Linked DNA regions of Macaca mulatta. The protein of the gene in region 1 interacts with the protein of each later gene in a biochemical or structural test. Links are inferred from orthologs where the notes say so. Each region holds a gene or a part of one and is shown on either strand. Other genes may lie near its edges.

What was found.
Region 2: the proteins of ACTA1 (region 1) and GC are reported together in a solved structure, tested with the Homo sapiens proteins (2 studies listed by BioGRID and IntAct). The link is inferred for Macaca mulatta from reciprocal best matches to the Homo sapiens genes ACTA1 and GC.
Region 3: the proteins of ACTA1 (region 1) and GSN are reported together in a solved structure, tested with the Homo sapiens proteins (3 studies listed by BioGRID and IntAct). The link is inferred for Macaca mulatta from reciprocal best matches to the Homo sapiens genes ACTA1 and GSN.

What each region holds. Positions count from the first base shown.
Region 1 is NC_133406.1:19,613,061-19,617,356, forward strand, and holds the start of ACTA1 (actin, alpha skeletal muscle), read left to right. Parts: upstream 1-1,388; 5' UTR 1,389-2,164; intron 2,165-3,034; 5' UTR 3,035-3,046; coding exon 3,047-3,175; intron 3,176-3,281; coding exon 3,282-3,606; intron 3,607-3,728; coding exon 3,729-3,890; intron 3,891-3,974; coding exon 3,975-4,166; intron 4,167-4,257; coding exon 4,258-4,296. UniProt on the Homo sapiens protein: Actins are highly conserved proteins that are involved in various types of cell motility and are ubiquitously expressed in all eukaryotic cells.
Region 2 is NC_133410.1:62,077,044-62,080,688, forward strand, and holds part of GC (vitamin D-binding protein), read left to right. Parts: coding exon 1-129; intron 130-1,181; coding exon 1,182-1,384; intron 1,385-2,980; coding exon 2,981-3,110; intron 3,111-3,596; coding exon 3,597-3,645. UniProt on the Homo sapiens protein: Involved in vitamin D transport and storage, scavenging of extracellular G-actin, enhancement of the chemotactic activity of C5 alpha for neutrophils in inflammation and macrophage activation.
Region 3 is NC_133420.1:36,932,015-36,936,245, forward strand, and holds the start of GSN (gelsolin), read right to left. Parts: upstream 2,874-4,231; 5' UTR 2,816-2,873; intron 1,104-2,815; exon of another isoform or gene 972-1,103; intron 1-971. UniProt on the Homo sapiens protein: Calcium-regulated, actin-modulating protein that binds to the plus (or barbed) ends of actin monomers or filaments, preventing monomer exchange (end-blocking or capping).

The DNA.
Region 1 (4,296 bases):
ACTGAGCAAGAGTTTTGAAAAATAGTGACAGTCCCATTCTCCTTTGGAATGCGAACAGATATTGAGGTATCCAGTGAACGGCAGCAAATTTCCTACTTTCAAGGCCTAAATGTAAGCTAGTCCCCTTATGTTACATGCAACTCATTTGCCAGGTGGTTTTTTTCAAGTACCTCCACTACTCGCTGACACAGGAGGACACAGGATATTAAAAATGAAATACAGTTCTGTCAGTTATTCACTTATTCTCCAAAATACTTGGAAGAACTAAATATGATACCATAGGAGCCTTTATACTCACCACGTAGTCCCTATACTAGCCAAACTCCTTATTTTTTAATTGATTGTTTTTAGGAGGGTAGTATTTTATTCACTAAAACATTTTTGTTAATACTTCTTTATTTTTAGGATGAGCTGCCATGATGTGGGCTACAGAGGAGGGTCACATATGCTTCTATCCCCCTTTTAGAGAATCCGCACCTGTCCCAGTTGCTGATTTCCACTTCCAAATGTGAATTGCAACTATTTTAGGAGCACTTAAGCACACCAGAAAAATGAGTGATTCTGTTCTGGCCCACACCGTATCACTGATGTACCCCCTTAAAGCATGTCACTGAGTTCATCACAAAAGACTGCTCCTCCTGTGCCCTCCACAAGGTTAGAACTGTCCTTGTCTTGGGGAAAAGAGAGAGAGAGAGAGAGAGAGAGACAGGCACCAGCTGGGTAACCTCTGCTGACCCCCACTGTACTTTACCATAAGTAGCTCCAAATCCTTCTAGAAAATCTGAAAGGCATAGCCCCATATATCAGTGATATAAATAGAACCTGCAGCAGGCTCTGGTAGGTGATGACTCTAAGGTGGACTGGGAGGCAGCCCGGCCTTGGCAGGCATCATCCTCTAAATATAAAGATGAGTTTGTTCAGCCTTTGCAGAAGGAAAAACTGCCACCCATCCTAGAGTGCTGCGTACTTGCCCCCCTCTCCCCCCGCCCTTTATTGGCAGGAAGGACCAGCAAAGCCTCATCTAGGAAGAGCCCCTCACCCATCTCCACCTCCATTCCAGGTCTAGCCAGTCCCGGGTTATGACCCTCGTCTTTCAGCCCCAGGAGAGGGACACACATAGTGCCACCGAAGAGGTTGGGGGAGGGCCTCAGCCCACCAAAACCTGGGGCCAGTGCGTCCTAGAGGAGGGGAACCCTCACCCCTTCAATCCCTTTAGGAGACCCAAGTACTCTGCGCGTCCCTGAGGCGGACAGCTCCGTGTGCCCAGGCTTTGCGTCTGACGGGCCTATCCCCGGGAGCCCCCGCGCCTCTTCCCCGGCGCTCCGCCCTCGCCTACCCCCCCGCCAGTTGTCTGTCCTGCGACAGCTGCGCGCCCTCCGGCCGCCAGTGGCCCTCTGCGCGGTGGGGGAAGGGGTCGACGTGGCTCAGCTTTTTGGATTCAGGGAGCTCAGGGGTGGGAAGAGAGAAATGGAGTTCCAGGGGCGTAAGGGGGAGGGAGTTCGCCTTCCTTCCCTGCCTGAGGCTCAGGAGTGACGGCTTCTCCAATCCGCCCAAGCCCACCACTCCACACGTCTCCCTCCTCCCGGTAGTCGCAAGTGGGAGTTTGGGAATCTGAGCAAAGAACCTGAAGAGGAGTTGAAATACTGGAAGTTAGCAGTCAGGCACCTTCCCGAGCTCCCAGGGCGCTCAGAGTGGGCATGGGTGGGGAGGCCTTTGGAACAGGTGTGGTTCCCGGAGCGCAGGCGCACACATGCACCCACCGGCGCACGCGGTGACCCTCGCCCCACCCCATCCCCTCCAGCGGGCAACTGGGTCGGGTCAGGAGGGGCAAACCCGCTAGGGAGACACTCCATATACGGCCCGGCCCGCGTTACCTGGGACCGGGCCAACCCTCTCCTTCTTTGGTCAACGCAGGGGACCCGGGCGGGGGCCCAGGCCGCGAACCGGCCGAGGGAGGGGGCTCTAGTGCCCAACACCCAAATATGGCAGGAGAAGGGCAGCGACATTCCTGCGGGGTGGCGCGGAGGGAGTGCCCGCGGGCTATATAAAACCTGAGCAGAGGGACAAGCGGCCACCGCAGCGGACAGCGCCAAGTGAAGCCTCGCTTCCCTCCCGCGGCGACCAGGGCCCGAGCCGAGAGTAGCAGTTGTAGCTACCCGCCCAGGTAGGGCGGGAGTTGGGAGGGGACAGGGGGACAGGGGAATACCGAGGGGAACCTGAAGGACTCCGGGGCAGAACCCAGTCGGTTCACCTGGTCAGCCCCAAGCCTGCGCCCCGAGCGCTGTGCCTCGTCTCCGGAGCTACATGCGCTTTAAAAAGGAGACAAGACAGACTCTGGAAATTAGACGTCTCCAGATTTTTCTCTAGCCCCTCTGGGCTGCTTTATGCGGCATGTAGGATGTGCCTAGGGAGATAAACGGTTTTGCTTTAGTTGTCGCCAAGGCAGTTCCCTTCCGAACTAGCGCTAGAGCTAATGAGCGAGCAGCCAGGACCACCCATGCTCCGTTTCCAACAGGAAAAAGGCCCTTTCTGAGTTTGAAATGTCATAGGGTTCCTAACAGGTCACTCTTCTCTGGATGGGGTGCCAACGCCTTTCCCATGGGCATCTCCTTCCACCCTCACGCTGGCCCAGCGAGCAGGCAGTGCCCAGGCCTTATCTTCCTAGGTGACAGATGTGGTCAGGGAGGTGCAGAGAGCATGGGCACTAGCGTCCAGCTCCTGGAGCAGGTGTCAGGCAGGGAGGGCAGACAGGTCTTGGGGGACATGTTCCCCTGGCTGTGTGGACAGAGGACTTCTCAGTGTGGTCTCACGACCCTGTGCCCCTTTTCCTGGTGCAGGGCAGCCCTTAGCCAGGGGCAAAGCTCAGGAAGAGAACCCCTGGTCGCCGCCCTGGCAGAATTTGAGTGGTTCTGGCAGGGGATATCCCTAGGTTCCTGGGGAGGGAGGACGTCTGAGCCGGCCAGGCCTCCCCCGCTGCCGCTGAGACGTCTGCGCTGATGCACCGCGCCTCTTCGCGGTCTCCCTGTCCTTGCAGAAACTAGACACAATGTGCGACGAAGACGAGACCACCGCCCTCGTGTGCGACAATGGCTCCGGCCTGGTGAAAGCCGGCTTCGCCGGGGATGACGCCCCTAGGGCCGTGTTCCCGTCCATCGTGGGCCGCCCCCGACACCAGGTCAGGCTGCCGCTCTGCGGAAGGAGCCGGGTCGGGGTCCCCGCGTAACCCAGTCTGGTGCCACCCGGAGCGGCGTTAATGGGTGCGTGGTGTCTCGGATCCGCAGGGCGTCATGGTCGGTATGGGTCAGAAAGATTCCTACGTGGGCGACGAGGCTCAGAGCAAGAGAGGTATCCTGACCCTGAAGTACCCTATCGAGCATGGCATCATCACCAACTGGGACGACATGGAGAAGATCTGGCACCACACCTTCTACAACGAGCTCCGCGTGGCTCCCGAGGAGCACCCCACCCTGCTCACCGAGGCCCCCCTCAATCCCAAGGCCAACCGCGAGAAGATGACCCAGATCATGTTTGAGACCTTCAACGTGCCCGCCATGTACGTGGCTATTCAGGCAGTGCTGTCCCTCTACGCCTCCGGCAGGACCACCGGTGAGTGCCCGCTGCGCCCAGGCCCCTCTCCCGCCCCCGCCCCCGCCCCCGCCCCCGCCCCTAGCGCTGAGCGCCCAGCCTTGGCCTCGCCCCCAGCGACTTACTCTCTCCCGCGCGCACAGGCATCGTGCTGGACTCCGGCGACGGCGTCACCCACAACGTGCCCATCTATGAGGGCTACGCGCTGCCGCACGCCATCATGCGCTTGGACCTGGCGGGCCGCGATCTCACCGACTACCTGATGAAGATCCTCACTGAGCGCGGCTACTCCTTCGTGACCACAGGTGCGCGGAGCCCCGACACCCCGGGAGGGAGGGCCGGCGGCGGGCCCTGAGTGAGGGCTCCTCTCCTGCTTCTACCCTACGCAGCTGAGCGCGAGATCGTGCGCGACATCAAGGAAAAGCTGTGCTACGTGGCCCTGGACTTCGAGAACGAGATGGCCACGGCCGCTTCCTCCTCCTCTCTGGAAAAGAGCTACGAGCTGCCAGACGGGCAGGTCATCACCATCGGCAACGAGCGCTTCCGCTGCCCGGAGACGCTCTTCCAGCCCTCCTTCATCGGTGAGCCCCGCGCGCCCGCGCCCCCTACCCCAGGCCCCGCCGGCCCCCGGCGCCCGGAGCTCCCGCTCACGCTCCCCTCCGCGGTCCCCAGGTATGGAGTCGGCGGGCATTCACGAGACCACCTACAACA
Region 2 (3,645 bases), on another chromosome or scaffold:
AATCTCATAAAGTTAGCCCAAAAAGTGCCTACTGCTGATCTGGAGCATGTTTTGCCACTAGCTGAAGATGTTACTAACATCCTCTCCAAATGCTGTGAGTCTGCCTCTGAAGATTGTATGGCCAAAGAGGTAAGACAATCTTTATTATCATTATCACCATGTGCCAGGTATTGAGTGCCAAGTACTGAGTGCCAGGTACTCTTCTAAGCTCTATTTCATATGCATTATCCTAACAGATGCTCACATGTATCCTGTGAAATATAAATAATTCTTAACATCACTGTACAGGTGAAAAAACAGAAGATTAGCAAGGGTCAATAATTTGAGATCACACTACTAGTAAGTGGCAAAGACCATATGCAAAGATAAGATTATCTGATTCTCAAGACCTTATGCTACTTGCACTGTATGGTATTCATTACCACATATGGTCATTTAAATTTAATTATAATTAAAGTTAAACATATATATTTAAGTTGAATATGATTTAAAATTCAATTCTTCAGTTATACTAACTGCATTTCAAATGGACAATGGTAGGAGCTACTACTGTTTTTATTATACTTTTTATAATTTGATGCCCATCTCAAATTTTTTTTGCCATTTTTCATTTTCATAATCCTTTAAAATGATTTAAATTTGAATAATTGCTTTAGCTGAAGGTCAGTCTCCAAGGTCTTGTCAATCTCTGTAGTAATAGATACATTGTGTCACCTTGTCTTTTTCCATTAAAAATGCATGTCTGTGTTAATAGATGTTTTTCTATAAGGATTTATAATGGCTAAATAGGATTCTGTTGCCTATGTCCATGTCGTGTATTACATCTATCTACCCAGACACACCATATTTTTATTTTACTAATCCTCTATTGTATTTAGGTTGTGTTGATTTTTTTAAACATTTTAATAAAATGCAATGTTGCACTTAATAGCCTTATAGTTGTCCTTTTATCCATAATTATTTTCTAAGTATAAATTCTTAAAAATAGAATTGTACATTTTTAAGACTTTTAGTACATATTGACAAATTGCCTTTCCAAATATTGTACCAATTTTCTTTCTGAGAGTATTCATACCGACTTTCATAAATGTGATGCCAAAGCTTGTAAGCCTATGTAATTCTTATTTTTAATTAGACTATCAGGAGACTAACAATGCACAAATTAACCGTTCGTTCTGTAGCTGCCTGAACACACAGTAAAACTCTGTGACAATTTATCCAAAAAGAATTCTAAGTTTGAAGAGTGTTGTCAAGAAAAAACAGCCATGGACATTTTTGTGTGCACTTACTTCATGCCAGCTGCACAACCCCCCGAGCTTCCAGAGGTGGAGCTGCCCACAAACAAAGATGTGTGTGATCAAGGAAACACCAAAGTCATGGATAAGTAAGTAGAGGTGATGTGAAAACGTGTTCCCATTTTAAGTTCATCTGGACAAAAAGTGGAGGCCAGCCAGACAGAGGGAAGGTATGCTATCACTCATTTCAAACACAAGCAAAGTACTACTTTTATGCTTTTCATGGACTTTAAGTATTTGTTAATTGATTGTAAATGACTAAAATTTGTAAAACACCATAATCAATTGAGTGTGATAGAAAGATTTTGGGTAGGGAGAAAGGAGCTTAGAGTTCCTAATTCTGCCTTCTCTGATTCTTGTGCACTGCCAAAAGAAGTGACTTGACAATTCTGAACTTCAGTCTATTGTTAATTAATTTGAAAATGTTAATACTTGCCTTATTTAGCATACAGATTGCTAATAAGAAATGCATGTAGAAATGTCAGTGAAAGTAAATGTGAAAACACATATTTGTATACAATGCTGAACACATGTAAAATATATCACGTAACCAGAAATATTTTTAATATTATTAACTAGTTTTATCATATTAATTCTGGCTCAAAATCACAAATCAAAAGCCTAAAGTATACTAAACTTTTGGACAATAAGCATTTGATACAAATAAAAGAGATAGCAAGCATAGAATATTTTTTTCTTAGCATTATCGATATTCATTTTCATTAAATTTAAAAAGAGATTTAATGCAAAGAAATGGTAAACTTTTGTCTTGTTTCATCCAGCTAAAAAAAGAAGTAAGATAAATATACCATGGTTTGAATAGATGTGTATGCATCATCATGGCATAAAAATATTTCACAAATAGTTTGAAGCCACAGGTTGAAATATCAATTAGCAATATCAGATGGCAGAAGTTATATAGGACTGAAACTTTAATTTACATTTTTCTAAACGTTTATTGTTTATATAAGTGCATAGACAGCAGTGGGATAAGACATAATGAAATAATTTACACAAACCTATTTTCACAGAAAAGCCTTTTGAAGTACCCACTTGATGTTTTATATGGGGTCAATTGTATTATGCTTGCACAAAGACAGTTCCATATGCATTTGAAGTAAATATGTTTACATATAATATATTTAAATGTATATTATAAGCAAAGCTTTAGTTCAATATTGACTAGTCACGATAGCAAGTATTAGTAGCTTGTATCTCAATGAAAGTATTTTATAATCCAAAGCCTGTTGATTTAGAGTCAGTCTGAGCTAAATCTCTTCTTTTTAATTAAGATGCAGAAACCAAGTGCTCTGCCTTTATGACAGATATTTCACATTTCAAAATGTAGGCCGGGCACGGTGGCTCATCCCCACAATCCCAGCACTTTGGGAGGCTGACTCAGGCAGATCACTTGAGGTCAAAATTTCCAGACCACCCTGGCCAAACCTGGTGAAACCCTATCTCCACTGAAAATACAAAAATTAGTCGAGCATGGTGGCAGGCACCTATAATCCCAGCTACTTGGGAGGCTGAGGCATGAGAATCGCTTGAACCCGGGAGGCAGAGGTTGCAGTGAGCCAAGATGGTGCCACTTCACTCCAAACTGGGTGACAGAGGGAGACTCTGTCACAAAAAAAAAAAAAAGTAAATATATAACACATATCTCCTTTTCTCTCGCATGCTAGGTATACATTTGAACTAAGCAGAAGAACTCATCTTCCAGAAGTATTCCTCGTTAAAGTACTTGAGCCAACCCTAAAAAGCCTTGGTGAATGCTGTGATGTTGAAGACTCAACTACCTGTTTTAATACTAAGGTATATTTGCTAGATTTTCTTTATCAAGCACATAGATCAAGGGTTGGAAAATTATAGTTCATGAGCCAAAACTTGCTCACTGCCTACTTTTATATGGCCTACAAACTAAGAATAGAAGAATGGTTTTACATTTTTACATTGTTGGGAAAAAAGCAAGAGAACATCAGTATCTCACGACCCATGAAAATTATACAAAGTTCAAATTTCAGTGTTCATACATTAACTTCCACTGGGACACAGTCATCCTCGTTGTTTCTGCAAAGCTTACAACTGCTTCTGTACAGAGTTGAGCAGTTGCAACAAAGACCATATATGGCCTGCAAACCCTAAAATATTTATTATCCTGCCTTTCGTAGAAAACATTTGCCAATGCTTAATGTATATAATACTCATACTGATACAATATTTGGAATTTTGGTTTAATGGCCAGATGGGACAACATTTCAAGACAAATAATTTTGTTATGCAATTATTGTTTTCTTACAGGGCCCTCTACTAAAGCAGGAACTATCTTCTTTCATTGACAAGGGACAAA
Region 3 (4,231 bases), on another chromosome or scaffold:
AGGATTTGCCCAAGATCACCCGAAGAACCAAGACTGGGGGTCCATTTCCAAGTCAGTGCTTCTAACTTCTCTCACACCTGTGGTCTCTGATAAGCAAATATATACACTCAGAGACCACAGACATAGGATGTAAAAGTTTAATGAAAGAAAACCAGAGATCAATGTCTCAGCAAAGTACCATAGACCAAGCAGAAATCATCTCTATGACCCACATCACAAATGACCCAAACTATTCACATGGAGTAGGGGAAAGTGGCCCACTGTCACTGGATGGCTAAGAGTGAAGGCATCCAACCAACGTGTTTGGCAGAAGCGCACACACACCACTGTTAACAGTGGCGACCTCTGAGGAAAGAGGAGGGCTTGGGGGGATAAAAATTTATGTTTGAATCTTTAACAATATTTTTTGTTTGTTTTAAAACTCATGAAAAAGAAAAAAAATTACAATGCTGAATACCTTAGCAGCCTTCTCCAGTAGGTATAGCCTGTTGTCTGCTTTTAGATGAAATTTATAGCAGGTTCTGAGACCTTCAGCTGGGCTTCCAGAATCTGCTGCTCTGACCCATCCCAGTGGCCACGCTCTAGTTCAGACCTGCATTCTACTTCACTTGAATCATGCAACAGCCTCCTCAGGGCCTTTCTGCCTCCAGATCAGCCTGGTCCAATGCATCCCCCATATCGGCCATTCAGAATAATGAGTTTTTAAAAACCACTGCTCTGTCAAAACCCTTTCTCAGTTCTTCATTGCCTTCAGGATGAAGTCCAAACCTTTAGCTTATAATCTAGTTCCATTTTCATTTAGAGTCTCAACTCCCACCACCCCGCCCTTCTCCCATCCTCCACTCTAGCCACTTGGATGGCTCAGAAAACCTCAGTGCCTTTGCACAAGTGGTTCCTGCTTCTCAGAATGTCTTTTCCTCCAACTCCTGTTTCTCCTGGTAAATGATTACTCATTCTGAGGTCTGGGTCACCCAGACAAAATTAGTCACTCCGCCTGCAGGCTGAAGTCACTCTTAATATGGCACGAAAGTGTCAACCACTATAGATGACAAGCATCTTGAGGACAGAGAGCTCTGTCCTCTTCCGAGGCTATTGGGCCCCTCGCAGGGCAAAGCACAGAACACAGGTCCAGAGAAGGGCTGAAAGGAGGGAGGAGGGGTGGAAGGAAATGCCATGCAGGGCAAACTCTGCAGCCACCCCTCCTGGGAGCAGCCTGTTTCCAGGCTCATGTTAGTCCCTAATAAAAGGACTATAGAAAATTCTGGAGTAAACTTCCCTTCCCTGATTCACACAGAAACCTTCTTTGCTGCTGTGTAACTCACCGAATGCCAACCCAAGCTCCCCTGGCTGTTTACAATTTCCCTGGCATTTCTAAATAGCAAGGCCCCGGAAAGAAAAATGGAGTTTCAAAGGAGCTGAAAGCCGACCGTTCCCATCCCCATCCTTACTCCTCTGTTTCCAAGCCTCTCTCCCTTAACAGCCCCAGGAAACACCAACCAGCATCCCCAAGCGGGGGGGGGGGGGGGGGGGGGGGGGAGCGGTGGGGAATGCTTGTCCCTTTAGTGAACGGAACACCCAAGAAGGAGGCTAAAGTCCCTCCCAGCAAGGAATCCACAAAGAGCAGACTGGAATTGGGTCCCAGCCCTAACCTGCCTCACTGTGTGTCAACTAGCCCATCATAAACTCTCTGGGTCCTTGACTTTTAACTGTGAAATGGGGATGGGGTAAGATTCTAGCAAGCTATGGTCGCTGTAAAGGGCAGAGCGGTGAGAGTTCCTGGTGCCCTGGTCAGAAATGTGGTCCTGGGAGAACACGACACACAGGATTAAGTCTTTGAAAAGTCCCCAAAGGCCAAACAAAAGCGAGAGGCACCTCCCCAGAAGCCCCGCCTTCCACAAAGTCCAATTACCCTCAAGACAGCCTAGAATGAGTTCTGGGTGTTTTAAAAGCCCCTTCCATGCTCTGAGGAGGGTGTGAGGACAGGATAAAGCGGCAGATGTCTGGGCAGAGAAGGAGCTAGGAAGAAAGCCAATGTCACCTGCTCGCCCACACCCCCAGCCCCCAGTCTTCCGAGGACTGGCTCTTCTCCCCGGGCACTGCGCAGACCAGCCAACCTGCACTGGACCAGAGGGAAGTTGCTGTTATTTAGGTTTTGGGGGGCTGGATCCCAGAAGACATGGGGGATCAGGGAGAAGGGGTTCCAATCACTGTCTTCAACTCCGAAAGAAGCTTCCGTGTGAGTCAGGGAAGGGAACACTGCAGGGCCGGGGAGGAGCCAGCAGCTACAGGTAGCAGGCGCCCGAAGATTTCAGACAGTACAAGGAAGAACTTTCTAACAGTCCTCAGAAAGAGGAAGAAGCCGAAGAGGAAAGCAAGCACAGGTATCGTCCAGGAGGCAAGGGTCCTCTGAGTGGACTCCCCAGCGGGGTCACCGCCCAGACCGTAGCTGGTGGCCCCCTGCATGCCCGGCTCAGACACCCCAAGCGCGGGAGTGACCCCGGGACAGTTCCCCCATCGCGGGGGCGGGGTCGAGGTTATTAGCTCAGGTGCTAGCAGCACAGTGGAATCACGGGGTGGAGGCCTGGCCCCTCTCCTCTCCTGCTCCAGCGTCTCCCCATCCCCCTGCTCCCATCCACACTCTTTGGTCCCCTGGAAGACGGGAAAACTGAGCGCGGAAGCCCTTTTCCAGCGACCCCCGCGGCCGGGCCGAGCTCCAGGCGCGCGCGAGACAGGACCGGGAAGGAAGGGAGAGGAAGGGCTCAAATCAGCCCGGGACCCCCAGATGTCCGGGGCCGGGGCTGCGCGCCTCCCCTACCTGCTGCTGCGGCGCTGGAGACGGCGGCTGCTGGGTCCAGCTGTGCTCAGCTGGTTCCGGGCGGCGGGGCTGGGGCGTTGCGGTGCGCGCGGCCGGGGTGGGCAGGGCGCGGGCGGGAGCCGCCCTCGGGGCGGGGCGGCCCGGCAGGCGGGTGGGGGAGGAGCGCCAGGCCCTCCCGTCGGCTGCAGGGCGGGTGGCTCCAAGCTTGCCTTCATCCAGGGCGACCCCTCGCTTCACCTCGCAGGAAGGCACCAAGCCCTCTGCTTTCCCCTGGAGGAAACTGAGGCCTGGAGCACGGAGGGGAGATCTGAAGAGGCCTAGCGTCGGGGAGGAGACCCAGGGCAGCTCCTGAGCTGGCCTGGGGCCAAGAGCTCAGATGGGGCGGGCAGGCGAGCAATGCTCAACTAGCACCAGCGGAGGCCGATTTCAGCCCCGGAGAGGACGGACTTCAGGAGGCAAAGTGAGACTTCGGAGAGTGACATAGGCTGCACACAAAGCAAGGGAGATTCCTTCCCACGGAAGGGAATAAAGAGGAAGAGCGATTCCCAGCTCATTCCGAATGAAGTAACGAAAATGCCAAGTGCATCCCTGGTCCTTAAAGTGGACCATTAAGCAGGCGCCGTGGAGTCAGAAGGGCCTGGTTTGGAACCCCAGACATCAACTAGTCCTGTAACTTTGGGCAAGCGAGCTCACATACCTAAGTCTCCGTTTCCTCGTTTGTCAAATGGGCATCCTGGATTGCCTCTTCATGGGGCGGTTGAGAAGACTCAGTGAGAAAAAGACCCTCAGCACAATGACAAGGCACTGTGGCTTCTGCATAAACGGATGTTCTTATTTGTGTCATAGCAGATATTGTTTGAGGAGATTGAGGAAATCCACATTGGGCAGAAAGATGAGTTCAAGGTCACTTTTAAACAAATGTAAAACTTTGTTGATCTCAACAGCATCTCATATGCATTTGAGACGATAGCCGTTTATAATGTGGCAAGGCATAGGAGGGCCTCCCAACAGTCCTGGTGCACACGTGGGTTCCCAGGGCTCTTGGAGTTGCCGCGTGACTCCAATTTGGAAGGATTCACACACTCAACAGGAGACTGCACCACATGACAGAGATGTCCATTCCCAGCCTGGGTGCTGGCAGCAGCCTCATGTTCAGCCAGGGTAAAGCTCCATCTTAACACAAGATGAAATGTACTACAGTCTGTAATTGCCAGGTGCTGGGGATCAGAGCAGAAAAGGCTGTTGTTTAGCACAGAAGCCAAGAGCACAGCGCTCACTCCCTGGTTTTTCCATTGAATAGCAGCCAGGGAAGCCACAGGACCCAGGGAGTCTCGCCCTGGCTCTTCCTCCTGCCACTCTTTCTTTGTTCAGCACCAGTAAATACAAGAACCATTTCTTGAATGCCTCATGCCATGC